Linked DNA regions of Mus musculus: regions 2, 3, 4, 5, 6 and 7 are each reported to be linked to region 1. The links are microRNA targets in miRTarBase. Many come from high-throughput screens and were not tested one by one. Region 1 holds a microRNA gene; each other region holds the end of a gene's coding sequence.

Region 1 (4,068 bases):
CATAAAGGCATAGCTCGACCACATCAGAAAGCAAAAGCCACACAAGGCAGACAGCAACAGCTGAAAACCTGAGGAATTATTTGCCTGTCAGAAAGAATGTTATGTTTGGGAATCTGTGTGGAATTCTTTCTCTGGCTTCAAGATCACAGATCTGCAAGTGTGAGAGGCAAGTAAAACAAAAAAACGAGTTCTAGACCACCGAAGCGACAGCCTTTCATTTGGGTGACCAACAGTGAATCTCTTGAGCATCAGGACAAATTCTAAACAATGAAAATCCCCCCACGCAACCCCCCAAAAAACAATAACAACAACTTAGCATTTTAGAAGCAAAAGGTCTCATTCGTGTGGATTTTCATTAAAGAGTAAAAGAAAAGATCTAAAGCCACAGGAAACTGGAAAGACAAATCAATGGGGGAAATAAGCTCCTGGTGGTCAGGGTGAAGGTGCGTCCCAGCAACGCTGACTGAGCTTTTGCAAAGACAATGTTTGTGTGCTCTGCGTCCTAGTGGCCAGATGTCTTAGCCAATGGTGATGGGAACTGACTAGACCAATCCAGCAGGGCCAATCCAGAGGAGAGACTTGGCAGGAGACTTTGTGTTTTAAGGTGGCTCCTCCAGTGTGAATTTAGGGAAAATATTCAAAGGATCTGTGGCCACTCTCAGATGTTTGCTTTAAAGGGGGCACTTGTGGGGCTAGCAGGATGGCTCAGAATTAAAAGCACACACTGTTCCTACAGAAGACACTAATCTGGTTCCTAGCACCAGTATGATAGCTCAGCCCATCTGTAAATCTAGATAGACTGAGACTGACTCCCACCCACAGTCACCTAGCACACAAATGATGCACAGACATGTATGCAGGTAAAACAGCCATACACATGAAATAAAAATAAATACATCACATTAAAGGGAAAAAAGGGAGAGGAGAGAGAGAGAGAGAGAGGAGGGATGGTTGTCTCAAAAGAATTAAGACCATACTTAAACCACCCTTTACCTGTTTCCTAAGCTTATTCTGTCTTTCATTCTTTTCTGTTAATTGTATCGGGTGAGGGGCTAATGAGAGCTAGCTGTTACTAGCTGAGTGTGCTCTGCTGTCGTTTGGATGGGGTTTTCCCCATTGCAGCTCTGAGCAGAGCACCTGGTAGGCTCCTCGTCATATTTGCCCTAGCCAAGCAAGCCAGGAGCTCAAGGAAACACCTCTTAAGTGTTTCCCAGTTTGGAGGTTGCACACACATCCCATGTTTGGCTGCTATTATAGGCCAGAAGTTCCTAACACAGTTTGACTAAAATACATCCACTCTTTTCATTTGATGTAGATCTAACCTAACTTGTGCAAAAAATACTTATGCAAAGATACACAGTGATGGCAAATGAAATGCTTCTGTTGTTGTAGTTCTTCTTGTGCTCCTGCAGTACCAAATCTCGGCCACGAGCCACTTGTGAAATTCTGCCTTCTTCATTTCTAACCCTGTGAATAATGTCATTCATCCTGGAATGGAGTGATGGGTTACGGAAGGACAGATCAGCGTGACCTCTCTAGTGACTACAAGCCACTACAATTGTCCTCAGAGATGCCCGAGGTCCTCTGAGTCTCTGGAGCCCTTTTTATATATTAATACAATGACATCAAATGCTATTTTCGCTCTTGCCCCACAGTTGTACAGTGGAGTTTCCCAGAGGCTGCATGCCACAAGATGATGTCATCACTGCGGCTAATGGACATTGTGTTATGCATTAGTAATATTGTGCTTTAAAAAGTCCTTATTGTATTTAATGAAATCACATTTATTGGCACTATAATAAATGCTGGTAGACAATCCATCCAAACATACGGTTCTTGCACTCTTCAGTAGTATTAAGAATATAAAGCACACCTATAAGGCAGCTCAGAGGGTAAGGGTGCTTGCTGCCAAGCCTGACAACCTGAGATCAGTCTCTGGGCACTACTGGGTAAAGGAGAAAATTGACTCCTACGAGTTGTCCTATTATCTCCAGAGATGAGATATGGCATGCATGGGTACGTATGTGTGTGTGTGCACATATACTACACACACATACACACACACACACACACACACACACACACACTAAAGAGAAGGTAATAAGAATATAAAGGAGATTTTTAAAACTGTTTCAGGAGTAGAGGGGTCTTCCTAAGGTAGACTTTAGATAAATATGGTAGTGACTGCCTGTAATCTCAACACCCAGGATGTTAAGACAGGAGGACTGAGTTCAAGACCAGGCTAGACTAGAGACCCCTGTTTCAAGCATGGGAAGGAGTTAAAAATAAAGAATTTCACTAAATTCCTTCAGTTTTCTGCATGAAAATTTCTCAGCTCTTTTTTTTTTGCTCCACCCCACTGTTAAGCACTCTCTTGTGATATATACATTTAATACTTCAATAAAGTTTTATTTGCACCTATTGCAAACCCCACCTTACCCCCCAGATAGTAGTAAAGTCTACTAGTAGTATACCCATGTGGACTCAGCTGAGTAGAATCCAGATGCCACATTCTTCAGAAGGGTTTTCACAGCCCAGAGCAAAAAGTATCCAATTGTCTATTTTCTTCAAGGAATATACCGAGGCTTTCTGAAGCATTTATACTACCTAGTCACTTCGGATCCTACTCTGTTTCTCCAAATATGAATTTCATGTCAGCTTAAACCTAACATGGCTCTCAAACGCCAGTTTTCACCCACTACTTCCACTCATTAACATACTTGTGGTGAGCACCTAATAAAAAGAGAAATGGCAAACTCTAGTCACAAATATAAAACACAAAGCAAACTCGAGAAAAGTTTTTGTATATTTTTACAACTCGGGGAATTTTTCCTCACCCAAATCTAATTACCGGGAGCCTAGGAAGGAAAGTTCACATCATAATGTATGATGAGAAGCGTTTCCTCTAATTATACAAACATGATACAAATAGTTCTGTGCAAAGTGCTTCACTGGATAAATATTAGCATGCCATTATCATCGTTCACTGACTAATCTGGGCACTGGCACTTCTCTGCAGACTTCGTAAAAAACAAGGGAAGAGGAAACGAGGTCATGAGTGAGTCCTGCTGCACACAGGAGCACCCTATGTATCTCCATCTCAACTCTCTAATCAGATGAGAAGCATGCATGCTGCCCATGGCTTCTCGATGAAGATACTGATGCTCAGAAGAGGTCGGTACTTTGTTCAAGACTGAAAGAGAAAACTGAAGCTGGAGCCCATCCCATGCCTGTCTCTGTCTACTCTGGTGCCCGCTTTCCAGCAATCTTTTTTCTTAAGAACCCTCACCCGAGGAAGCATGTTCCAATACCAGTTGACCCAGAAATCAGAGTTGTGAAGGCTTCTTCTGGCGCTGTTTTGCAGCACTTGTGTGTTTTCAACAGGCATTCTTAGTGGACCAACAGAACAAACGATACTGCAGTTAGCAGTTGGCAGAGCACTGTGACAAATGATACACTCTTAAAAGAAATTAGAGAGCAGAATCTACAGTTAACATTGCTTTGTCTCGAGACCAGCTCCCCTGTACACCATTCTGATATGCAAAAGCCAAGCTGTGTATAATGTCCCTTGTATGTATATTTCCAGGGCTGTCCATTTGGTATTGGATAAGCAATTTCTCCTGTTCTCCGCATTTTGTAGGTCTTTGTGTAGGATGGAGGGCTTTCCACTGCCTACTTCAGCATGTCTAGTGTTGCCCTTGTTCAGCTCATGTTTAGATGTTATGGATATAGTTTCTAACTGAATAGGTTGTATTTATGTTTTTAGAGATATACCTACCTACCTACATACATACATACATTCCTAATATGTGTGTATGTGTGTAACAATAAATAATGATAAAAGAGGCGATGAGTTTGAAAGAGCACAAGGCATTGTGGGAGGGTTTGGAGGGAGGAAGGGGATAATGATGTAATTATATTATAATCTCAAAAAGAGGGTAATTTTTTTGAAATGCTTATATATATATATATATATATATATATATATATATATATATATATCCATGGGACATTCATGGGTCCAAGTCAAACTTCTGCACTCTGGGCTGTTGAGGAAGGGCAGGGTCT
Region 2 (4,068 bases), not on the chromosome of region 1:
AAGTGGAGTAGGCCTTGAGGTCCCTGATTCACTGAGCCACCACCTAGGCCAGTTACTGGCAGTTAGAGAGTTGAGATAGGAAGTGCCATAACCATTGCTAAGGGCACATCTCACAAAGCTCACAGGTGGGTGTTCTGGAGGCTGGCAGGTGCCTTCTGGGTCATGTGGGGCACAAGGGTCTTGAGAGAGAAGCTGGTGTTTTGCCTAAGCTGAGAGGAAAGGATGGCTTCTGCGACAGGGCTCCATCCTGTTCCTAATGAGCCTGGCAACCTGGAACATTCTCACTGGAATGCAGGACTGGCATGGTCAACTTTATTGAGTCTGTCAGAAGATCAGGGACACACTTTACCCCAGGAGTCCCCTCTTACTGGGAGGCACGGAGCCTGCAGACCCTGCCCTCTGTGTAGGAGGCCCACAGGCCCACTGTTTAGTGCTCAGATTTCTCTTCCACATGTTTAACACCAAGGACCAGGTCTGGACTAGACAATGTTGATGGTTTCGGGCTATCTGGATGGTCTTCAGAGTCCTCAGGAAGCTTTTGTGCGCCCTCTGCAGAGGAAGGCAGATGCTTAAGCAGTGTTGGAAGGAGTGATCTTCAGCTTCTCGCACTTCAAAGAGATCATTTTCAGGATGCTGAGAATGCTGAGAGTCACCAGCTATGTCATCACACAACCAGGGGGCGCCTGATAAGGTTTGAGCTAGAGATCTGCTTTGTCTTAGGGATTCTGTGGCAGTGACTCTTTTCTGCAGAAATAAAACCACCAGACACCGTGGCTGTCTGTATATGTATGGGTGTTTATTGTTTGCAAGATAAGAACAATCTGAAGATCTGTCAACAAGGAAGTTATCAAGTCACTTGCAGCACATCTGTACTGTGGAATACTTCATGGTCATCTAAAAGGACTAGTTAGATGTTAACTAGTTAGATACTGACCCAGAGAGTTTAATGGCATTCCACTAAATCAGGAATACAAACCGCAGAGAAACAAATATTATACAAGTGATCGTTGTATTTTAAGGGTTGTAATGTAACAAAACAAAACCCCTCTTCTTTATATTTAAACACAGTAAAGGGGTACAAGTTTCATACTAGGGCAGAGGGAGGAGATGGGGCTGGAGAAACAAAAACAAAAAAACAAAAGTCATTAAAAATGGACAGAAAGCACTAAATGAAGTCAAATAAAACTTTAAGGTATCCACCGCCCTGGCCCTGTATTAGGATTGCAAATTGCTACATTTGCAGTTGCAAATGAATAAAGGAGTGGCGAGTCTGGAGAGGTGAAAACGGCGGGCGTGGACTGGTGGGATGCCGGAAGTGAAGCCCCGCCCCCTTTTACTCTGCTGTCAGTTTGCGCAATCTGTTCTACAGCGCACGGGTTGGGAACACTTAGAAGGGCTAAGAAAACCTCTCCTGATCCACAAGTAAGAGCAAGGACGTCTCCGCTAAAAATCAAATAAGCGAAATTTGCAGTCAAAATCACATGGACACTCATTGGCTGTCACAGTTAGGCTTGTGGGTGTGACAACCAATGGTCTGAAAGAACTCAGCGATCGTGGAGCACGGGACTCTGTCCAGCCTACACATTTTCACGCTGGAAGGAAGTTGGTTGTCTACAGCTTTGTGCACCCGGGTAACTAAGCCTTAAGCTTGGAGCTGAAACACCAACATCACCATCTAAGAACTAACTATTCCTTCTTTATTGTCTGATATTTAAAATGGCGTGCAAGGGGTAAACTGTGTGATCTGGGCCTGCTCTCTGGTTTAGGATCAGTAGACTGAGGAGGTGTGTCTTGGCAGCAGTGGCGTACTGCAGCAGGCTGGTTTCTCTGGGCTGTCTGTCCAGTGGTAAAGGTTCCGCCCTGCTTCATGTCCCTTTACCATGTGACACCTGCCAGAGGTGTCCTTGAGAAGAACCGATTGCACTGGGAACTCAGCACTCGAAGTACTGCTATCAGCACTCGTGTTCTGGAATGTTGCAGATGAATCCTTTGACAATACCCGACCCCCCTGGCAGATACTCCGTTTACAAGAGACTACACCCAGTAGCAGTTATTTCCAGATCCCGCTCAGCAACTCCTGGAGTCCTGAAAGGTGAGGAAAACCTGTGGAAGAATCTTAAAAGATTTTTAAACATTTAGGTAACATTCATATTTTTAATATATATTTAAGTTCACAAAGTGGCATATCAGTTCTTATGATGGTAGACACCACTTCTTTATTGGGTCTTCCTAAAGATGACATTTCTCTTAGGCTTTTTGGCTAATAATTATATTTTGGGAGTGTTAAATGATTCACGGAGATTAGCTTTTACCAAAGTGGGTTTTAAAAACAGACAGTGTTTGCAGAGAGCTCTGTGCGCAGTGAGCATCTTAAGATGCCTAAGAACACACATGCACATAGGGCCAGGGGACATCAGAAGTAAACACATATTGGGCTTGGTGGCATGTCTGCAATCCCAGCATTCAGGAGGCAGAGGCCAGAAGATCATGATTATGGGGTCAACCTGGGCTACATAGAAAAATTTCTATCTAGAAAACAAATAAACACACACACACACACACACACACACACACAGGCATGCACACGCACGCACAATGTGTCACTTAAAAAGGTTTTCTTAACTTTGCAGACATTGCAGGGGCCCAACCAGCAAACACCAGTCCTTGTGAAGACGCATCTAGACACCACAAACACATCCTGCCCTGAAGCTGCTCTCCGGGAGGTGCATAGCAAATTTCCCTACAATCTGATTTCTGAGCCGTTGTCTAGTGTCATGTCTACTTTAGCTTAATTTTTGTTATATTGTCTCACGTAAGGTGTCAAGGTGCACGGTTGTCGCTCAGGGCTTCCCACTTAGTTCAGGGTGTGACTTCCACATTTCAGTCCACATTCGGGACTGCACTTGGACCTGAGTCTTGGAGGGATCAGGAGGCAGCTCTAGGCTACACAGAGCAGAAAACCTGAGGGAAGACAGAGCAGGGGAACCCCAGCTCTTCTGTTTTCTAACTGTGCTGGACAGGGACTCCTGCAATGTGAGCCTCAGTTTCCTGGAGTTGGAAAATCAGGTGGAGTGCACAGGACAATTCTTGTATCCTTTGGCTGGTTTCTCACCTAGTGTAGCTGCAAAGGCAGGAACAGGCCAGGTCTCACAGGGGTGGAGCATAGGGGCACTGAAACACATTATCAAACACATGGAGTAGGGGGAGTACTTGGGAGGGACTTTTGAAATGCCCTGAAACGCTACACGTTGTACTTTCAGAACACTCGGGGGCTAGATAGAGAGAACTGGGCTACCTCTGTCTACCTTTGCCCACCAGCTCACCTCTGTGGCTGCCAGCTTCATTGATTTTTACTTCACAATGAACCAAACGAAACCCAGCAGGCAGACCATCGCCGGTTGGTCCACGGCGACCCGAAGCGCAGCTCCCCTTTCCAGCCAGAAATCGCAGTGCTTGGCGGAGCAGATCTCTTTGATCAGCCGCCACAGGACTCGCTGGTGGAGCTTGCTATCCTGCTTCTCCCGGGAGAACTCAGCCTGGTTGGCCGCCTGGGTGGCGTTGACGCAGCTGGTCACCAGCATCTCCTTGGTCACGTTGGCTTCAGAGCAGCCTTCGTAGTAGATCCCATCAGGGAACTGCCAATAGTTAGCCGCGTAGTACCTGTTGCCCTCTGCTCCAAAGTCGATGTCCAGCTTCCGGCCTTGCTTGATGAAGGCTCCTGGGCGGTTCTCAGCTACCCGAGCTTCGGTGATCTGGCCGCCGCTGCTGGGCAGGACCTTCCGGTTCCACTTGAACCTGTGCTTTATGCCCCTTGCCTTGACCGTGGAGAGGTGGCTGGCAAGCAGCATGCAGAGGATGGCCACCCACCATGTACCCAGCCGGTTCTTCATGGTGAATCTGCAAGGGAAAGGCTGGGCTGTCACTCTCTCCTCAGGTGGCCTCCCACCCTCCAACAAGTGACAGATTTTAAAGGAATCCTCAGATCATAATGATGTCTATTGCACAGGCTGCAGTGGGTCAACTCACTGACAGCTTGCTTTCTTTGTTTTGGCCAGGGGTTACTCCTCT
Region 3 (4,068 bases), not on the chromosome of region 1:
AGAAGAGCTGCTTTCCTCTTGGTGGCAGGGACGCAAAGAGGGAGAAGAGACCTCCATCCTTTGCAAGGCACACATCAATGACCTAACTCACTCACACCTTTTAACAGCTCCACCACATCCTAATAGCATCAACCAAGGAGTATACATGGCTCCAGCTGCATATGTAGCAGAGGATGGCCTTGTCAGGCATCAATGGGAGGAAAGGTCCTTGGTCCTATGAAGGCTTGATAGATGACCCAGTGTAGGGGAATTGAGGGTGGGGAGGTAGGAGTGGGTGAGTGGGTGGAGGAACACCCTCATAGAAGCAGAGGGAGGGAGGATATGATAGGGGGTGTCTGGGAGGGAGAACTAGGAAAGGGAATAACATTTGAAATGTAAATAAAGAAAGTATCAAAAAGAAAAAAAAAAAAGAATGAATTGCTCCCCTGAATTAACCTCTCACTCCTCCCCACCTCCTCCAGGTCATCTGTGATAAAATATTCCGACACTGGTTCTCCTCAACACACAGGAGCCCGGCTGTCTCCCTCCAGCTTCGGCTGCAGCTACAGCAGGCCGTGCAGGAGTGTGCTCAGCACGGGGGCTCCTCGGGGAATTCCTGGACAGCCTCATCCAGTGTGTTCTGGAAGCTTCGATGGCTCTTGCAGGCCACTCTGAAAGAACTGCAGGAGGCGGAGAAGTAGCCTCTCTCTTGCCTTTGCCATCAAGAGTAGACAGAGGAAGCGACCTTCAAGGGACTCCTCCTGTAGTTGCTATGCAAATGAGCTGTCAGAGCCCGTGGCATGCTCTTCTGAAGTGTGCAGCTGAGCTCCCCTTCTGTGGCTGTGACGTGGACCTCTCTTGCTCCTGCCCAGCTCGGTTCGATCTGGTTTCGTGGCGACCTCCGGTCTGTCACTCCTTCCGCAGTGACCGAAGGGAGGAGTTTCACCAGAGTTGCCAGTCTGGAACCCTCTGAGGACTGTACACAGACCTTGCCACTATAGACAAGAGGCTGCTGCTCTTCCTTGTTAGCTGCTAACAAGCTAAAGCGTGGCTGTGGGCATACTGATGGATATGTTTGCAAATAATTGTGTGCATAATGTTGCACCCATGAGTGTATGAGTGGGTTTGTATATATGAATGTGTATTGTATACACATGAGTATGTTGTGTGTAAATAAGCATGGGATTGTGTGTATGTAAGTGGGATTGCACATGTTCTCATAATTATGAGTGTTCCTGTGCACGCAAGTGTGTGTGTGTGTGTGTGTGTGTGTGTGTGTGTGCACATTCGCATGCCCATGACCCAGTCATCGTGCCTGTGAATCTGTGCTCATGGATGAATCCATGTGAATCCACCCAGAAGTGCATGCATGTGTACATCCAGAAGTGAGTAAGTGGGTGGGCACTCGGAGCCTGTATGGAGAGGTGGCTTTTCAGTGTGTCCCTAGGAATCTTGCCTAGCTGGCAAAGAAGTGCTATTTTTCCCCCCTGGAATTAAATGCAATAAAATGTGTGTCCTTAGCGGCACAATTTGCTTTGGGGAGTATGTGGAAAGGCAGCTTTTAGTGCTTCCCATTCTGTGGAATTCTAGGGAGCACTTTACCATGCATCGACCGCAGCGCATCTTTCTTCTGAGCTGGACCAGGTGTCTGCGGAATGCAGTGTGTCTTGCAGCGACAGAGACAGTTTATGTAAAGTGCTGGGGTGGCCTCTGACCACAGGCAGAACTGAGGAAGAGCTTGTCTGTGCGTACCGACTGAAGACCCAGCCGAGGGCAGCGGACACTTCTTGTGGACATTTGATGATGCTCTTTTCCAATGGCCAGCTCGCACGAAGCCAGCCAAGCTGTGCATTGCTCCCCAACAGAGAGTGGAACCAGCAAGCCTTATGCTTACCATCTTGCTTCTACTCAGAACAGGGACCCCAAACTCTACAAGTCACAGGGAAGGGGACTCAAGAACAGTAGGATGTCTCGAAGATTGGGAAGGTGTGCTAGGGGCTTATTAGGAGAAAAGGACAAAATTTGGAGTTTTAAACATGTACAGAATGACAGAGCCTCACCTTTTCTCTTCATATAAGACCTTTGCAGTCCAGAGAACTGCCTCTTTAACTCCTGTGGATGCAGTTCTCAGGGCTGTGCACACAGATGACATCCTCCCTACTCTGAGCAGTGGCACTAGGGGATGGAGGCGGGTCGGAGGTCACACCAGTCCTGAAGCTGTCTATGATCCTGAAGGCAGGAGATGTCTGTTTCCTGCCGCCCCCATCCCCTCAGCCCACCTACCAGCAATTTGCCAGAGAAGGCTGACTTTCTTAAAGGCTATCATCTATCCTGTGCTGGAAGACTTGCTTTTTGTTTCTGTCCTTTGATGGGAGCCTGCGCAGGTCACTCTGCCAGAAGTGAGCAAAAGCCCACGTAGGTGCCCAGGTCTAGGCTAGCAGGGAGATAGCCTAGAAGGTAGGGAGAAAGCTCTGGGATTCCTATGAGGCTTAGCAACTTTTCTGTCTCTGCACGGGGAGTCAAATGACTCCTTAGTAGCCCTCTGGCTACTGACCAGCCGCTGTTAGTTTTTATTCGATTCTAAATGGAAACAAATGTTTTGTTTACCATGGAGACTGTGCAATATATGATCACCCCACACAATAGCATCCCTTTCTGCATGTTTTTGGCTACACACACACACACACACACACACACACACACACACAGACTCCTTGCCTAAGGATCTATTTTAAGGCAGTGGTTCTTAAATTGTGGTGAAATTCACTTTTTAAAAATGTTTAAACCTTTTTCAAAATACTGCTTTTATATAATATAATAAACAGACATGATGGTATTATCAGTATTTAGGCTTTTGGCTTTTGTTTTTGATGCTTGGGGCTGAGTACAGAGCCTTGAGCGAGCTAGCCTTGTGCAAGCTAGCCCAGCACCATACCCTGAGCTATGAACCCAGCCCCATATTATTTTTTTTTCCAAGAAAAGGTCTCCCTGTGTAGCTCTGGCTGTTCTGGAACTTGCTCTGTAGACCAGGCTGGCCTCAAACTCACTGCCTCTGCCTCCTGAGTGCTGGGATTAAAGGTATGCACCACTACCACCTGGCCATATTTAATATTTTTAATATGACAACCGAGAATGGTCATTGCTGACCCAGCTGAGCAATAGCCATACTCATGAGGATAAAAGGGGTTTTAATAACACTCACAACAGACAAACCATTAACTTCAAGAGTTTTATCCTAATTAAAACTGGCTTTTTTCCTTTTCTTTTCTTTTTAATCAGGGTAGAGCAAGAACATAGTCCCTCACTATCACAAATTATGCAGTTTCCTGCATTTGGGGAAATCATAGGGGTCAGCACATCCAGACTGCAATGGGTAAGGCTCGCCCTGGGAAAACTTCCTTCATGACCATGATATCTCCTCTTCTAAAATTGGCTTGGTTTACTGTGAATCTTTTTGTCACAAACCAATTTTCAAAGTTTATCCTGGTTAGCATTAACACGATCTTTCGAAGAAAGGATTCTGGACTCACATGCCTGTTGACTTATGGAGGACACATATGAACAGGTTTCCTGTTCCCTTGCACAAATCTCACAGGCCACTTGAGTTCCGGGATACCCGAGCTGGTCATTGAGTGGGCATCTTGCCCATATCCTATAACAGTATACAAACACTGCTGATACAGACGAACTCTGGTAAATTGAAGCACCAACGGTTCTCAGGCAGGCCTCCTCTTAGATGTCCAGCAGGCTTGCCCCCTGAGAGGCCTACTGTGTGCTCACTCCCTTGCTCGTCCTCTTGGAGGATCCAGAATGCACAGTTAGGACATTACTGCAGGTGTTGGAAGGGGGACTATTTTACCACTGTATCAGGAGGCTCTTCCTAGAACAGCTGGAGGTGGCAGCGTTTGGCTCAAATGTTCTAAAACCAACATATAAGGAAACTCATATTGTCCTGACAAATGCTACTCTGGCTCTGAGATCTGTGAAATTCGTGTGAGAAAGGTACCTTGGAAAGAATATGCATCTCCATAGTACACACAGACACACAGACACACAGACAGAGGTTCTCCTTACAACTGGCTTTCCTTT
Region 4 (4,068 bases), not on the chromosome of region 1:
ACCTCAGACACTGGCCTCCTTCCCTGGCAGCTGGTGGAACCTGGAGCGGATGGCCAGCATCCGCCAGGCTGTGTGGCTCTTTAACATCAGTGCTGACCCTTACGAACGAGAGGACCTGGCTGGCCAGCGACCCGATGTAGTCCGCACCCTTCTGGCTCGCCTGGCTGATTATAACCGTACTGCCATCCCCGTGCGTTACCCAGCTGCGAACCCTCGGGCCCATCCTGACTTTAATGGGGGTGCTTGGGGGCCCTGGGCCAGTGAGGAGGAGGAAGAGGAGGAGGAGGAAGAGGAGGAAGGCAGAGCTAGAAGTTTCTCCCGGGGTCGCCGCAAGAAGAAATGCAAGATTTGCAAGCTTCGATCTTTTTTCCGTAAACTCAATACCAGGCTGATGTCCCACCGGATCTGATGGCTTAGGGTGGCAGGGAATCTCAGTTCCCCTCAGACACTCTCCCTTTGCTGGTTCTCAGGGAGGAGGCAAGGTCAAGTCTTCATCTGTAGGCACGTGGAGGGAGGGCACAGAAGCCCTCAGCTGAATAGGGTGGGACTTGGGGAAGGGCAGCAACCAGGCTGGGTTGCCTGGGTCACAATCCTGCCTCTTTCCTGATGAGTTTCCTTTTTGCCCTCAGGTTACCTATAGCAGCATTCTGCCTCAATCTCACCCCTAAGATGAGCTCTGGTGACTTTAGGACTCCAGTGTACACATGTGTCTGGGGCCATGGCAGGGTTTCTTGCTGACCTTGTCACCTTCCAGACAACTTGAGTCCATGACCCTCTTTCCAGCTCTCTGTGGTGCTCTTGGATATCAGCTGGAGTATGGCCAGCTGGCTGCTGCTCTGTTGAACAACTCAATGAGAGAACGGACAGGGTAGGCTCTGAGAAATCTTTACGTTCCTGGAGCCTCATGACTTGGGAGCCTAGTGGAATTCTTCTCTTTTGGTCCCCAACATCTGGGGGGAGGGGGAACTGGCTGAGCCTGAGCCACTGTATAGTGAGGGTGGGGGAAGCAGCTGTGAAAGGAGCCTTTGATTTGGTCTTGAACACAGTTCTTCCCCACAGGGCCTTGATTTCCCTACTTGCAAAGGAGTAGGGAAATATGAGCCTTGGCTCTGCCTACCTCACGTTGCTGGTGCTGTAGAAAACTGGCCAGGCTGATGGTTGTGGAGGAGCCTGTGAACTTGATTAAAGTGCCATTATCCAGAGGCAAGAGATGCTGGTCTGTGTGTGTTTGAGTGTGTGTGTGTGTGTGTGTGTGTGTGTGTGTGTGTGTGTGTGTGTGTGTGTGTGTCTTGGAGACCTGTGTGAGCTCGATGCTAGCAGAGGGGACAGAAGGTAGGTGGGAAGGAAGGAAGGAATGAAGGAAGGAAAGAAGGAAGGTTGAAAGGAAGAAAGGAAGGAAGGAAGGAAGGAAGGAAGGAAGGAAGGAAGGAAGGAAGGTCCTGCCACAGGCTTACCATGTAGCTGCAGGCAAACCCCTGACCCTCTCTGGGCCTAAGTGTTTCTCTACACACAATGGATGATTCAAGAGTCCTTACTTTTGGTGGTTACAGGCACCCCTGTGCACATTTGCATCTGGGGTGGGGGGGACACAGGCTTGGTAGTGTTGAGGAGGGGGGTGGTTGTAGAGCCTGCTAGCTGCATAGCGCTGCTCTCTCCGCACACTGCGTTCTGCATATCTCCCTTCAGGTCCCAGTCGGCGCAGTGTGTGTAGGCGAAGGCCCTGCTGTGAATTTTGAAAATAGTTATTTTTGTCACTGGCAAAGGAGGCCCTGTTAGGACTCGTCAGCTTGTGGATGAGCGGGATGGGTGGAGTGGGGTGGGTGCGGTGCCGCCGTGGGGGGTTACCGCTGCTTGCAGGGCTGCATCGCCCAGGCAGTGACTGAATCCTGCATGAGGGCCTGGCCTAGGCTGTGGGGAGGAGATGACCACTGCGTCCTAGATCTTTCCTTAGCCCTGTGCTTCCTTTCTTCCTTTTTTCCTTAAGATTTATTTCTAATGATGCGTAGGTTGTGTATTTGTGTGTGGGTATGTGCACTTGAATAAAGGACCCACAGAGGCTATAGACATCAGATCCTCCTAGAGCTGGGGTTACAGAGGGCGTGAGTTGTCCAACATGGGCACCGGAAAATAAACTTATGTGCTCTACACGACCGAGCTGTCTCTCCAACACCAGCCCCCTTCTTTTGACTTTTCTCATCTCCCTCACTTGTATGTTTTCCCTTCCTCGATAATGCTGATACCCAGATGGTAGGCACGGCCCAGGATAGGCAGGGGTCTCTGCGCTCCAGTGGCTGTAGTGGTTTTCCTGCCTGCTCTGAAGAAGACACTGGCTAAGGTGGTGTCTTAGCCTACTGTATCCTAGAGGTGGGTTATTCATAGTCTGCCCACTGCCCAACACACTCTAGGCCTGCTGGGGCCTACTCTAACTCTGCTTGCTGGCTTGCCACCCTGGCACACAGTGTAGGCTTCCCTGTAGAGCCAGGCTTTAGAAAACTGTATGAGTACTTCTCTGAGAACTGCTGGAGGGGCCCTGCCTGCCAGGACTTTTCAACTTCCAGCCCTGTCATCTATATCACTTCTGAGGACCCCGTGTGGGGGTCACGAGAACAAGACCATATGTAGTGCTTTCTGTTCTCCCTTGGGTCCCAGGCTCTGAATCAATCTGGTCCCAAGATATAAGGGATGATTGGTGCTGAGGCTGGTGTCTGTTTCTGAAGTTTTGAAGACAAGGGTTGGCTCAAGCCTCCCTGTGTTCAGTCCTCCACTCAATGCAGAACTCAGTGAACTCAGAATTCTCAGCCCAGATGCCAGCATAGCCCAGCATAGCCCAGCATAGCCCAGGAGCTACTGGAGCATCAGTTTGAAACCAGGTCCGCAGGAACTAGTGGGCAACAGTGTGTGAGGCCAGTGGTCTTTGGGGTATTGTATTGAATTGAGAGGTCCTGCTTAGCAGTCAGCATGCCCACAACCTGTTCTCTACGGTGGTCCGGATTCCCCTCAGCAAGCACACCTGAATCTTTACTACATCCCAGTTCCTGGTTGGCTCCTGACTTCGGGTTACTATGGCTGTGATGAAACACTACGACTAAAAGCAATGTGGGGAAGAAAGTTAATTTTTTTACTCGACCTTCCATAGACAGGGTTCATCACTAAAAGCAGAGGGCAGAGGAAAAGATAGCTCAGCGGTTAAGAGTGCTGTCTACTCAACAAAGAGGTCTTGAGTTCAATTCCCAGCAACCACATGGTGGCTCACAACTGTCTATCCTGGGATCTGATGCCCTTTTCTGGCATACAGGTATACATACAGATAGAGGACTCATATACATAAAATAAATAAATAAATCTTTAAAAGCAACAAGGGCAGAAATTCAAGCAGGGCAGGGACCCAGAGGCCAAAGCTGACGCAGAGGCCATGGAGGGGTGTTGCTTACTGGCTTGCTCCTCATGGCTTGCTCAGCCTGTTTTCTTATAGAACCCACAACCACCAGGCCAGAGATGGGACCACCCACAAAGGGCAGAGCCTTTCCCTATCAATCACTAATGGGAAAACATCCTGCAGTCGGATCTTATGAAGACATTTTCTCAGCTGAGCTTCCCTCCTATCAGATAACTCTAGCTTGTGTCAAGGTGACTTAAAACTAGCCAGCACAGCACCTTATGCTCACATCACCTGGGTCCCTTTGGAGAGGACATAGTTAAAGGGAGCCCAGAGGCAGTCCCTAGGCCACAGGTCTTCATTGCCCCTCTCTGGGACGGATTAGACAGGCTGCAGACCTGTTAGCTGGAAGAGTTAGATTCAGGCAAGAGCTTGAATCTTTACCTGATCCTGGCTATGGAGTCCTGGCCTCTAATGATCAGCTCCCTAACAACCCAATGGAGCCATATACCTGCCTGGGCCATGGCTGTGTCTCCTCTTCTTTCAGACACTCCTGGCTTGCCTAGGACACAGGCTAGCATCCTGTCAATGCCAGGAAGGGGCACAGCAGGGAAAGAGCAATGCTGTTGGCCTGACTGCCACCAACTGGTGTACCTGTTAGAGGGCAACCTCTATTCTCTGCACCTTGGTTC
Region 5 (4,068 bases), not on the chromosome of region 1:
AATCAGCTGGCTGTCTTCACAACAGTGAGCAACACAAGGTGGTTGCAAATGCAAATTAATGCCAGGAACAGGAAGCACAAAGAGGACGGAGGAGCTTGGGAGAGATGCCGAGGTCTGATAAAGGGGGAAAGACACACACACACACACACACACACACACACACACACACACACACACACACACACACACACACAGAGACACACAGACACAGACACACACACACACACACACACACAGACACACAGACACACACACACACACACACACACAGACAGAGTTGTACTTCTAATGAGGAAATTACAAGTTTGGAAAATGGAACTTTGTAATAGATAAAGGTGCTGAGACATATATATAAGTATATATAAAAAGCCAACATAAAGAGATCACTGTAGAGGGTACAGACTGCTACATTTAAAGTTAATTACTTGGCAATATCCTTTAATATGCAAATTACATAAAGAAAAAAAATGAACCGTGTAAATGAAGTGAAATATATATATGACTGTGTTATAGGACAAAAGAATGGAGTAAAACACTTTTCACCACATTGACTACAAGCTGTGCTGGGAGCATGTAAGACAGAAGAGGCACACAGCGCTTACTGCAAAACAAAAGGTAGAAAGATCATTACATATTCCCTTCGTGTTTTCCACTACGCCAGACGTGGATGAAATCTTTAAAGAACAGTGACATGATGTTTAAACTGTAAACAGTGAAACCCTGGGCTTCCTAAGGTGCTGATTTCACACCCAGTATCACTTGGTTTGGAATTAACACATCATTGCAGAAGACCATCTAAGTGTCACAAACAAGAAACATGCACATACTGCAATTTTATTTCAATCGCACAAATGAAGTTAGTGTGTAGGAGAGTTAACTGGAACAGCTATGGTGGTAACAGCAGAGAACTGAAAACCTAGACAGGAAACACGCCTGCGGCATGAGGACCGGACATTCATCAGCGGTTCATCTTCAGTTCTGATTGACACGTTTTGAACAGACTTTGAGATCACGGTTACTATTCTCAAGAGATTTCAGCACCACGCTAAGGTTTGTACATTCAGATTGTTTGCTATGGACGTGCTAGCCATTCAGAGTGTATTGTAGAGTTGTCGCAGGTCAGATCACAGTGTTGAGGAGAGCAGAGCCTTCCTGTCATCACAGACGATCCCTAAACTGGACTCAGCTGAAGACAGTCAACACACAGAAGCAAGGACCCACCGTCACAATATGGTTCCAAGGAACAGTTTTGGGAAAACAACTCAAGCTTTAGCTTGCGATTGTAGTCACTGAAATCTCTAGCGACGACACGACTGTCCTGGGTGACAGTGAAGCATCCAGGTAGGAGCACATTTAGTCATGTGGGAGGACGTACTATCATGGAGGATACAGATACAGCATGAGCCAATGTCGGTTCTTTTTTTTTCTTTTTTTGTCATTTTTACAGACATTGTGTTAAATATTAGACCAAGGCACAAAACGTTTAGTGCATAAACCAGCTTTGTTTAGGACTTAGCATTTGACTTCAGCATTTTTGTCTCACTTTGGACCATCTAGACCCAGTACTCTACGTACTACAGACTATTTAACATTAGCAACAAAATGAAAAGCGATTTTTGATCAGATCTGTAAGGGATGTACACACGTACACAATCAAAGTAGTTGCGTAATCAAACGTTCAACAGTAAATGAGATGCATACTTCTTTTAGAACAGCGTACATGCTTGCCGCATCCTTAATGCCTTTACTATTCCTGCGAGACGACGACTGATGGGTAGAGAAAGCCACAGAATTGACTTATGACCGCTCATCCCTCACACTTTAATCTAAAGATGAAGTTTCTACAGAAACAAACACTCTTAACAAAACCCCTCATTCACACGGCTCTGCAGTGGGGTTAGCTGCAAACTGCAGGGTTTAGAAAACTACTCTCATCAAGCTTTGCTTTACAGCTGAGACATAGGAAATCTAGAAAGCAAATCAAAGTGGATTGTATCTACTATTTTTTTAGCAAAAGTTTTGATAGCCAAAGATTCCAAAGCAAATATGGCACATTAATAACTCAAGCATAAATCATGATGGACAGCCTGGAGAATTTTTGATTTCCTAGATTTTCCAAAAAGCTAACATTACAACATATAAAATTTTCTCCCTTATTTTAATCTTGCCAATTATAAAGGGGTGGAACATAATATCTATCACACACTCTTAAGCTCGATCACTTTCTCTCTCTCTCTCACCTGTGTGCGTGTGTGTGTGTGTGCGCGCGCGCGCGCGCACACACACACACACACACACACACACACTCAGGGTGTAACAGCAGACACTCCCTACCACTTAAGCCTCACTTTAGTTCTATTAAAAGAAAGCTGCAGAACTCCTCATTGGTCTCCCTTACCTAGTGACTTATGTGACCCTGGTTGCTGCCATTATTGATATTTCTTGTATTTTAGCACAGCAAAGGTCAAGGAGCAGCCGCAGAGTCAGGAGCGTGAACCCAAGCACTGCAGCACTGTGGGGGCCGCGTGAAAATAACTGCCAAATTCAGTGATCAAACTCGTGAGTTCCACAGTGAGACGGACTCACATGTTACGCTCAGAATCATGTTTCAGACCGTTGAAATTGCTGGTTAAAATACAAATAGCTGAAGACATGATGTAAAAGATTAAGTACTTGGTTTTGTTAACATGTTTACTGATTAAAGTCACAAAATATTTTTCATTATAATTCATGCAGATAATTGAGAAAAAAAAGATAGTGCAGAAATTAACTTTAAATAAAAAGTTATTCCTTCCCTTCCTCCCACTTCCCTATATTCTACAAAATATTTTCCCTGGGACTAGGCCCTGAAAAGGCCACTACATATTAGTGTGACATGCATTATTGTCTGTAATTAAAAAAGCTAACTTTGTGGTGATTGTAATTACATTATAAAAATGTCCACATGCATATGTCTAAAAAAGGTTGAAAACCTACAGTAAATCTATAATAGAATGTTTTCCATTTGACCACTGTTGGTTATGTAGAAGTCATAGATTTGGTAAAGCATTGTAACAATTTAGGAAGGCATCTAAATCTTTAATTTCTGGACGGACTTTATGTTTTAAACTACAAAATTGCATGAAGGCTAACCCGAGAGACTTCCTATCATTCTAAAATTCCTCAAGTGGGACTAAACATTTTGGGACCTTTCGTATTAAACACCACCCTCTGAAAGCACATACAACTCCGTTTGTTCCATCCTTTATGATCTTAGTGTTCACGGAATATCAAATATGATAGGAAGACAAACCTGAGAGAAACATTTACAACGCAACAGCAGAACTTACTAAATCAAATTCTTCATCAGCGCCCTCTGGAAAAAAATCTCTGAAGCCTTTCTCGTCTTTATTTTAGCAATGGATTATGGAAAACGTGCAGACTCATCTAGACATGAAAATATTTCAATGCACGGTGATCTTGCCTGACGGGTTTAGTACTGCTAAGGGAACTCCAATATCATTCTCCATCCTGTGGTAAAGGTCAGACAGAATAAAGCAGCACACTGAGGGGACAGCTGATCGCCAGAGTCACTGTCTGAGGCTTTCAGAGGTTGACGGCTTCCCTCCTGACTGTGTATCCATTTTCTTCTTACAGCTTAAAAGTTTGGGGGTTAAGAGTTGTTTGTAGGAATTTTTGTTTTCTCCAGATTCAAGTCCTGCCCCTCCGTAGTTTGCTTCTTTATGCAGTGTTCGACTTGCTCAGCTCCTGCCTGATTGCTACAACAGGGAAGAAACGGTTTCCAGAGTCAATCCACCAGAGGAGATACAGAGGAACGGGTCGCTCCTGAACAACTTTCAAGGTTCTGTTCTAACTGTTTCATACAAAGATACAGGATCTACATCTTCACTGCACAGATGTTTAATTTATAAAGATACTAATCACACACGACTATGTCCACTTACTCCCTCCCTTGTAGATTTAAGACAGGAACACTGGTTCTGTGGGCTCAAAAACAAGGGCAGTTCAATGGAAATGGACGAGTGGAGAGAAAAATCTGCCTGATTGGTATTATTACACCAAATTCTA
Region 6 (4,068 bases), not on the chromosome of region 1:
CTCGTTAGCCACCAAGTACAGATCCCTCAAATGTTCACTGTAGAGTCTGCTCTTGTTTTGGGATCCTCAGGCACACACAGACTTATATCTAGGGGGTTTGGTTCATTCCTTTCACATATTGGTCCAAGCTCAGGTTGCCAGGCTTGGTGGCAAGCACGCTCTCTCCATCCCATGAAAACTTTCCAGACCAACACTATGATATTCTCACTTTGTTCTCTCCACAGGAGGTAGTGGAGGATGAAGATGATGACTTTTTGAAAGGCGAGGTGCCCCAGAGTGACACAGTGACTGGCCTTACTCCGAGCTCCTTTGATACCCACTTCCAAAGTCCTTCCAGTAGTGTGGGCTCCCCTCCTGTGCTGTATATACCAGGCCAGTCTCCACTCCTCACAAGGATCTATGATTGAGCTGCGCAATTCTTCCCAGGGCCCTGTGACCCTGTGTTCCACCCCGACCCCACACTGGACTAGTCTATGCCTCATGTGTCCAGCTTCCATGTTGGACTTCGACCAGCATCTGAAGGGAACCAGGTTGTGTGTGCTTGCAGTTTGCTCCCTGTTGACATAGGGAAAAACTGAGTGTCATAGGCAGTATTTCACAGTGGACATTTCACAGTATTTCACAGTCTTGCCTGTGGCCTGCTGGCTGCATGCTGTATCAGCCACAACCTGGCAAGTGGCCTTCTGACAGGTTTCTTTTTATTAGAACCACAGTTTTGACTTTGTTTTGGTAAGCTGTCCTCCAGGATCAGCACTGCCTGTGAATACTTTGAACTGTCTCCTGCTTACAGGGGTGTAATGGTTTCCTTTGACTAGAAGTCTATTTGTGTTGTGGGGTGCGTGGGGAGAGCCAAGCAGGCAAAGCTGAACATTTGGGCTTCACTGAGGGACACCAAGGGCTGCAGAGGAGTCAGGCGGGAAGAGAGGAGTCGGAGAAGCACACAAGGTCCTTGTGCAGGAGTCCCCAGAGACCTAGCTGCAGCTCAGGCCGACTGAAGCAGGCCTGGGGGTCTGTCGAGCATTCCACAGCCTGCACAACACGGACTCAGCCAGGAGAGCTGTTTTTTTTTTTTTTTTTTTTGGTTTCTTGAGACAGGGTTTCTCTGTTTAGCTCTGGCTGTAGACCAGCTGGCCTCAAACTCAGAAATCCGCCTGTCTCTGCCTCCCGAGCACTGGGATTAAAGGTGTGCACCACCACTGTCTGGCTCAGGAAAGCTGTTTTTACACTGAACAGCCAGCCTTGCTCTGTAGCAGGTGTGCTCGAGGACTGTGGACGTTGACTTCCCTTGGATCCTTACATGTAAACTTGCGTGTTTGTGAAAATGGCCCTTTAAGTATATTTAATTTTTTGCCACATATTTATTTAAAGGCGAGCAATATTTTCTTGGTCACAATATTTTTTAGTGGAATTCCTCTCAAGGTTTTTATACTCCTGTGTAATAAGACTGATGCAGAGCCCTGAATTTCATTCTGTCTATGAATACCTTTTTGAACAAAGAAAATTTTATTGATTTAAAAAGCTTTTATATGAGACAGACAAGTCCCTGAGTTCCAGGCCAGCCTTGGTGGCAAGTCACTAGGAAACTTCAAGGTCTGTCTCATCTTTATTTTACTGTGTGCCCCTGGCTGTCCTGGAAATCACTATATTGCTCAGGCTGGCTTCGGACTCAGAGATCTATCTGCTTGCCTCCAACATTTGAGAGCAGAGAGTTTGCACCACCACTTCCCGGTTCAAGGTTCTTTTAACTGCTAACTGAAAATGGAATGAAATTGCATCCATAGATACTGATGGGATGCCAGGCTTGGAAAGTAGCTAGAATGTAGAAGGTATGTTGACAAATAAGCCTCTTAGGTTACAAAGGAGTTTGGGGGGAAAAAAATATCCATTGTGAAAATGAAAGTACAGCCTAGCTCACCTGGGGCCTCCCTGCTCACACCAATGCAGGTTTCAATAAAGACTCAGCCATGCTTCCGTGACTACTGTGTTGAATTTTAGCCGCCTGCTCCTAAAGGGAGTGGGATGGTTAGAAACAGGCATTGGTTAAGATGTTTCTCATGCTTTGAACAAGCCTATACACTTCAGAGAAATTGCGTGCTATCTGGGCATGGTGATACACTTTCTGTAATTTCAGCATTTGGAGGTTGAAGTAGGAACATTTTTAAGTTAGAACCAGACATAGTAAGATGATTTTAACAGCTAAACATTTTGGGAAGAAATTAGTGAAGTCTCCTTGGAAAACAGAGAATTTTCTTTTTCGTATTGAGGATGAAAACCAGGGTCTTACACATACATGCACCCAGACCAGTTGTCTTAGGGTTTTTCTGCTGTGAACAGACACCCTGACCAAGGGGACTCTTATAAAGGACAACATTTAATTGGGACTGGCTTACAGGTTCAGAAGTTTAGTCCATTATCATCAAGGTGGGAAGCATGGCAGCCTCCAAGCAGACATGGTGCAGGCAGAGCTAAGAGTTCTACATCTTCATCTGAAGGCTGCTAGCTTAATACTTGTTCCAGACAACTAGGACTAGGGCATTAAATCCCATACCCACAGTGACACACCTACTTCAACAAGGCCACACCTCCTCACAGTGCCACTCCCTGGCCCAAGCATATACAAACCATCACACACGTCTGAGCTATCTTGTGAGAAGAGTTGGCTAGTGCTGTGTGTTTTGCAGCCTGTGTGCTTGGTGGTCTGGGGAGTGGAGGGCTTGGCATCTTCCTTGAGGCTCGTTGCAGCTTGGGTCTTGACTCCATTGTCTGTTCGCCTTCATGTCTGGCTTTAGTAGTGTAGACAGGCTAGGCTGTTAGCTGCACTCAGCTCTTCACTATCTACTAAGTGTCTACATAATGCTCATTCTTTGTGTGTGTGTTCTCTCTCTGACACAAGGTTTCTCTGTACTGCTGGCTGTCCTGTAGCCCAGGCTGGCCTCAAACTCAGATCTAACTGCTTCTGCCTCCTAATCGCTGGGATTAAAGGCATGTGCTCCCACATACATAATACTTTTTTTAAAAATTTATTTATTATTAAATTTAAGTACACTGTAGCTGTCTTCAGACACACCAGAAAACGGTGTCAGATCTCATTATGGATGGTTGTGAGCCACCATGTGGTTGCTGGGATTTGAACTCAGGATGTTCGGAATGGAAGAGCAGTCAGTGATCTCAACTGCTGAGCCATCTCTCCAGCCCACATACTACTTTTTAAACAACATTTCTTCTCGCTGCGGAGGGCTGGTCCTTGGCTTCTGCTATGAAGGTGTGCTCACCGACCTACATTCCTTGCTTCCCCACACCCATAATTACATGGTATACAGTTTAGTACTTTCTACCTGTAAGCACTTAGCTATTTCACTGCTCAGGGAATCTTCACATTTCTGTCTTCTGGTTCTTATAAACTACAATTCAAAGCCATACCCAGGGACTGGAGGTGGCTGTGTGGACCATAGCCCTTGCTCCACCAGCAGAGAGATCAAGTTCTGTTGACAGCATCCACATCAGGTAGCTCACAGTCTGCTTCCTCTGGGCACCTGCACTCACACAACACATAAATACTAGTAGAAATTAAAAAAAAAAGCCATAATTTTAGTACTTTAGACTCTTAAGATGGGACTGCCATGAGTTCAAGGTTAGCCTAGGCGATACTGTGAGTTGTAGGCCAGCAAGAGTTAGTTGCAGAGTGAGCAACGGTGGTGTGATTGATTATTCCAGGAGACCGGCAACTCATTTTAGAGAGTTCAGCTGAGCCTCTTCCGAAAGAAGTAGCACAGCTGGGCTTGTTGACCTTTCGCTTCCTGCCACAAGGGTGGGAAGGCAGCGAGACCTGAGGATGCAGATGCACCTTGCCACCCGTTGTATGACAGTGCCTTAATTGTGTGGTGCGGCAGAGTAGTTGGGCCTGCGATGACTAGGGGAGGGGCCCTCATTCCTGCAGATGCAGCTGGTTAGGTGGAGGACACCCACATCACTGTAGGTAATATTTCACCTAATACTTCTGTAAGGAAGCCCCAAAACTCATTCACTCCTCAAGTGAACTTGAGTGGAATCGTGCTGAGTTAGGCTTGT
Region 7 (4,068 bases), not on the chromosome of region 1:
AGTCTCTCATACTCATTCTAATTGTTTTAAATTCATAGCAGCAGCCAATCAGTAAATGGTTAAAGACATTGGTCATTAGGATTTGTTTAAACTTGCTTTCAGTAAAAGAAACATCCAGGATAATCACGCAGTCCTGAGTGTGATGTAGTAAATGCTTCTCTCGTATATTTTGTCTCCGTGTTTCCAGACTAAGCTGCAACTTCAAAGGTTAAACAATCATGCGAAGATGTGTTGTTGTACTCTGCAAACCCCCTGGCTGAAAGAAAAATACTCCATCTTTGGAGACACGCACTACTACAAAATCCATTATCAAATCCGGTCTTCTGCACTTTACAAACCGCTCCCTCCTGGGAATGTTAGTGCACCCCTGTCCACCAAAGGCCAATTTTGTCTTACCTATTTGTTATTTGATGTTTTTAGGTGAACTTGATCTTCATAAGAACTCAGAAGAGTTAGGAAATACTGAAGAAAAGCATGCTGACACACGTCCATAGGTGTGAACAAACTTTAAGAGTTCAGTTGTTTTAAACACAACAGGTAATGTAACCTTTGAGACAAGAAACCTAAATTTTTTATTATTTAATTTTATTTTCTACTTACTTTACATCCTGCTCACTGCCCTCCTCCTGGTCCCCCCTTCCCACAATCCTTCTCCCATCTCCCTTCCATTTCTCCTCTGAGTGGGTGTGGGACCCCCCTGGGAAAATCCCTGCCCCTCCCGTCCCTGCCCTGGCACTTCAAGTCTCTGAGATGCTATGTGCTTCCTCTTCCATTGAGGCCAGACAAGGCAGCCCAACTAGAATCCCATGTGCAGGCAAACAGCTTTTGGGATAACCCCAGTTTCAGTTATTCGGTACACACATGAAGACCAAGACACATAAGAAACATATCAGAAACCTAATTTCTAAAGTGAATTATTTGTATAACACATTCAGAGACAAAGGACTCCATTTAAATATTAAATATTTTTAATGTACTTTTTTCATCAAGTACATTTTATTTCCTGAGATTACAATTTTAATACTTTAAGCACAATAAGCTATATTTTATATGGTTTATGAAAAAGATTCCAGAAGAAATTCTTACAGTGGGAGAAGACTTAGAATTACTTTTTCTATGGCGCATAAGGAACCATTAATAACATAAATATCATGTTTGCTATAAGTCTGTGGATGAAAATAGTCTTGCTTTTAAAAATGGCTTCTGTGACTTGCTTTCCATCTGCTAGATTGATAACCCTAGAAATAATGCTGTAGAAACACGAAGACTATTTCTATATATTATGAAGTTTTAATGAGTGGATATATTAATATTAGTGTCTATTCAAACAGAACCACTGTCTTGGAAGGAAACAGGATGAACATACAACTAGAGAGGATGGAGTATGTAGTATACATGTCTAAAATATTAAAAAATGCATATCAAACAAATAGCAAGTGCTGTAAGGAATATTATGTTGCTTTAGTAGCAGGGGCACAGGAAAGTGGTGAGGGAGCCATGCCAGACGCTTGAGATGCTGGTTTGAAAGAGTTAAATGTGATTTGGCATTTAAGGCAATTGTTCAGTATTTGTGCAAAGACTCACTTGTGAGCATCTTAGATATGTTACACGAGGTATCCCATGGTGGCTATAATTCCTGTTTAATACATGAAGGTTGAAAATAAGGCAAATCACCAAGTGGCTTTTCAGCATCTCATGCCCATTTATGTATTTAATTGCTAGCAACCATTATAAGGACTTCCATACTTTCCACACAGATTGTATATTTATTAACTCTAGTGATCCTGGTCACTTAACGTGAATTTGAATATGAATATGCATAATTAAGCAATATTCCTCCCTTTAGGACACTTGCAACCCAATGTTTATTATATATCACCACAAAAAGGATAGAAAATAGTTTGGGTCAACATTTTATAAATATTTATGACTATTTACCCAACATGTATATAGGGAATACAAGTCACCAGTGTGTTTACTAAAATGACTGTTCAATGTATGAAAAAAAAGTGTACTGGAACTAAAAACTGTGCAAAACAGAGACATTTAAAACAGAGCTAGAAAGCAATTGCTATTCACTACCAATCTCTTATTTCTGGCAGAGTGTATAAGTCCTATGTAAAAAAAACCATTCAGTAGCTGACCCTTATGTAGCTAAATAATATTCTTTATTTTTCCTTATTTATTTTTAGTTACCCAAACTTGTAATTTTCACGTGTGACATGTTTTGAAGCCTGTCATCTTCGTGGAATGGTTAAATTGAACTAAATACTAAGTGTATGCCCTCCCACATTTATCACTTTTTGTTGGATAGGTGAAAAGGTACTCTCAGAAAGTTTCCAGAACACAATACATCATTACTTACAATATCTTCTGAATTTATCTCTTGAGTTTATTTTTGTGATCTAACTGAAATGTTCTATCTTCTAACTAACATCTACCCAACCCACCTTCCCATCCCTTCTCTGATCTCATTTTCATTTGATTTTTATTTCAGGAAAATGAAAGCAGCATGAAAAACACACAAAGACCTTGATTTTCTAAAAAAATAAAATAAAATGTTTGGCTCAGTCCATTTTAGTGGACTCCTCTGTAAGGAAGAAAAGCATAAATTTCAGTCTAGTAACTGAGCCACAAAGTTCCCACGAGTTATCATTAGGATCCTGGCCACTGTTTTTGCCATGGTTTTCCTTCCATGATTTGGTCATCTTAGCCAGAGAAATCTTTTAAGGCTGAAAGCTGGATGCTTTCAAGTTTTCATCATTTTTAACTTGTATAGAAGATGGAATGGATTTCAATATACAACTTGCACTGTGTTACTCCAGAGTGACGCAACAACACAATTGTCAACAAGCAAGGACAACAAGAAGAAAAACAAACAAACAAACAAAAAAAGAGTAAAAGAAAGGCAAAACAAAATGATGAAAACCCTGTTTTCTTGCAATGCTGATCTGGTAAGACTGTCTTGTTTTAAATGCATGGGAACAGAATGAGAATCAGATCTGTCTTCAGAAGCGCCAGCAACAGCTGACCGTAAGACCTGCCGCACAGTGATTGGATGAACGCCTCTATGGGCCTCCAGCTGGGAAACTACAGTGCCATCTTCTCCTGAAGTCATCGACCATCCTGCAGCCATCCACTGAGTTTTAAGGCACTAGTGTATCACCCATGTGTGTGTGGTTATATTATAGGTCGCAGTTTGCTGTAGGGCCAATGTAACAAGGAACATCAGCCATTGCAGGAGAAGGGCACTCAAAGAGAAGACAGAATTTTCCTTCTGGGATGTTGTTACCACTAGAATATAAAGATATATTACAGGCTGAGGCATAAGATGTGTGTGTGTGTGTGTGTGTGTGTGTGTGTGTGTGTGTGTGTTTGTGTCTGTGTGTCTGTGTGTCTGTGTGTGTGTATGTTGTAGATGTGTGCACTCGTGCTCAGAGGTGTATATGGAAACACATACTTTTCTGTACAGCTAAAACTGTTATGTGATGTGACTTTTTAATTTTACTGAAGAGAAATGAACTGCAACCCTCAGAGGCCCTGCTTCTTGGTCATGTTTTGCCTGAGCATGTGTGAAGTAGCTAACAGGAATGGTCAAGCCCAATTAGATGTTGTAGTATTTTCACTGTACATACAGTTCAGGGATTGCGAACTTCGTGAAAGGTGACAATTAGATGGAATGAACAGTTACTGTCAATTAGGTGATGTGCAGAAAGGTTCACCCATCCTAATGAGTTGCTTCTCGCACCTGTGTTTCCCCCCAGGTTCCTCAAGGCTAAGCAATATTTCAGAGAGGGACATGACAAGAAGCTTTTAAGCCTAAGTTGTGAGGTCTTTATAACTCACAATTTAGATCTACTTTAATGTGTAAGCCATATTCTCTATGCATATTTAGTATGCATTTATTGTATTTAAGATATATTGTGAGTAGACTGTATAAAATGCTTTTAAATGTTCTATGAATTAGATTACTAGTGTTATTATTGTCTAGATCTTGTTAAATAATTGAATTGTATTATAGCCATTATAATGTGATGGATATTTTAAATATCAACAGTAAAGATTGAT

What was found. Region 1 holds the annotated microRNA mmu-miR-466q (GUGCACACACACACAUACGU, at 2,019-2,038, opposite strand). A microRNA usually pairs through its seed, bases 2 to 8, with sites in the 3' UTR of a target mRNA and lowers its output. Matches are read on the target gene's strand: a 7mer-m8 pairs with bases 2 to 8, a 7mer-A1 pairs with bases 2 to 7 and ends in A, and an 8mer does both.
Region 2: miRTarBase lists Prnd as a target of mmu-miR-466q. Seed matches in the 3' UTR shown: 7mer-m8 at 2,580-2,586.
Region 3: miRTarBase lists Dipk1c as a target of mmu-miR-466q. Seed matches in the 3' UTR shown: 7mer-m8 at 793-799, 7mer-m8 at 1,067-1,073 and 7mer-m8 at 1,257-1,263.
Region 4: the mRNA of Arsi is a reported target of mmu-miR-466q. The part of its 3' UTR that is shown has no 7-base or 8-base seed match.
Region 5: the mRNA of Enah is a reported target of mmu-miR-466q. The part of its 3' UTR that is shown has no 7-base or 8-base seed match.
Region 6: the mRNA of Rrn3 is a reported target of mmu-miR-466q. Seed matches in the 3' UTR shown: 7mer-m8 at 1,184-1,190.
Region 7: miRTarBase lists Pde1a as a target of mmu-miR-466q. Seed matches in the 3' UTR shown: 7mer-m8 at 3,421-3,427.

The regions. Positions count from the first base shown.
Region 1 is chr3:28,417,958-28,422,025 of GRCm38, reverse strand. Mir466q (microRNA 466q) reads right to left here and starts at 2,083; the gene lies at 2,008-2,083. The region is part of intron 2 of Tnik (TRAF2 and NCK interacting kinase); the gene reads right to left.
Region 2 is chr2:131,952,838-131,956,905 of GRCm38, reverse strand. Prnd (prion like protein doppel) reads right to left here. Exons shown (of 2, transcript NM_023043.3): 2 at 775-3,897. The coding sequence starts at 3,890. The coding sequence ends at 3,351. Prn (prion protein readthrough transcript) reads right to left here. Exons shown (of 5, transcript NM_001278259.1): 4 at 3,324-3,897; 5 at 775-2,085. The coding sequence ends at 3,351. Among named protein-coding and RNA genes, the nearest start is that of Prnd, 4.0 kb to the right of the region's middle.
Region 3 is chr18:84,738,908-84,742,975 of GRCm38, forward strand. It overlaps Dipk1c (divergent protein kinase domain 1C), which reads left to right. Exons shown (of 5, transcript NM_173770.5): 5 at 462-1,529. The coding sequence ends at 680. It also overlaps the pseudogene Gm25005. Among named protein-coding and RNA genes, the nearest start is that of Gm38576, 3.1 kb to the right of the region's middle.
Region 4 is chr18:60,917,360-60,921,427 of GRCm38, forward strand. Arsi (arylsulfatase i) reads left to right here. Exons shown (of 2, transcript NM_001038499.2): 2 at 1-1,202. The coding sequence ends at 409. Among named protein-coding and RNA genes, the nearest start is that of Camk2a, 6.2 kb to the right of the region's middle.
Region 5 is chr1:181,902,140-181,906,207 of GRCm38, forward strand. It overlaps Enah (ENAH actin regulator), which reads right to left. Exons shown (of 15, transcript NM_010135.3): 15 at 1-3,758. The coding sequence ends at 3,721. Among named protein-coding and RNA genes, the nearest start is that of Gm33669, 26 kb to the left of the region's middle.
Region 6 is chr16:13,812,866-13,816,933 of GRCm38, forward strand. Rrn3 (RRN3 RNA polymerase I transcription factor homolog (yeast)) reads left to right here. Exons shown (of 18, transcript NM_001039521.1): 18 at 225-1,976. The coding sequence ends at 407. Among named protein-coding and RNA genes, the nearest start is that of Ntan1, 4.4 kb to the right of the region's middle.
Region 7 is chr2:79,835,354-79,839,421 of GRCm38, reverse strand. Pde1a (phosphodiesterase 1A, calmodulin-dependent) reads left to right here. Exons shown (of 16, transcript NM_001159582.1): 15 at 421-537; 16 at 2,498-4,068. The coding sequence ends at 494. Among named protein-coding and RNA genes, the nearest start is that of Ppp1r1c, 130 kb to the right of the region's middle.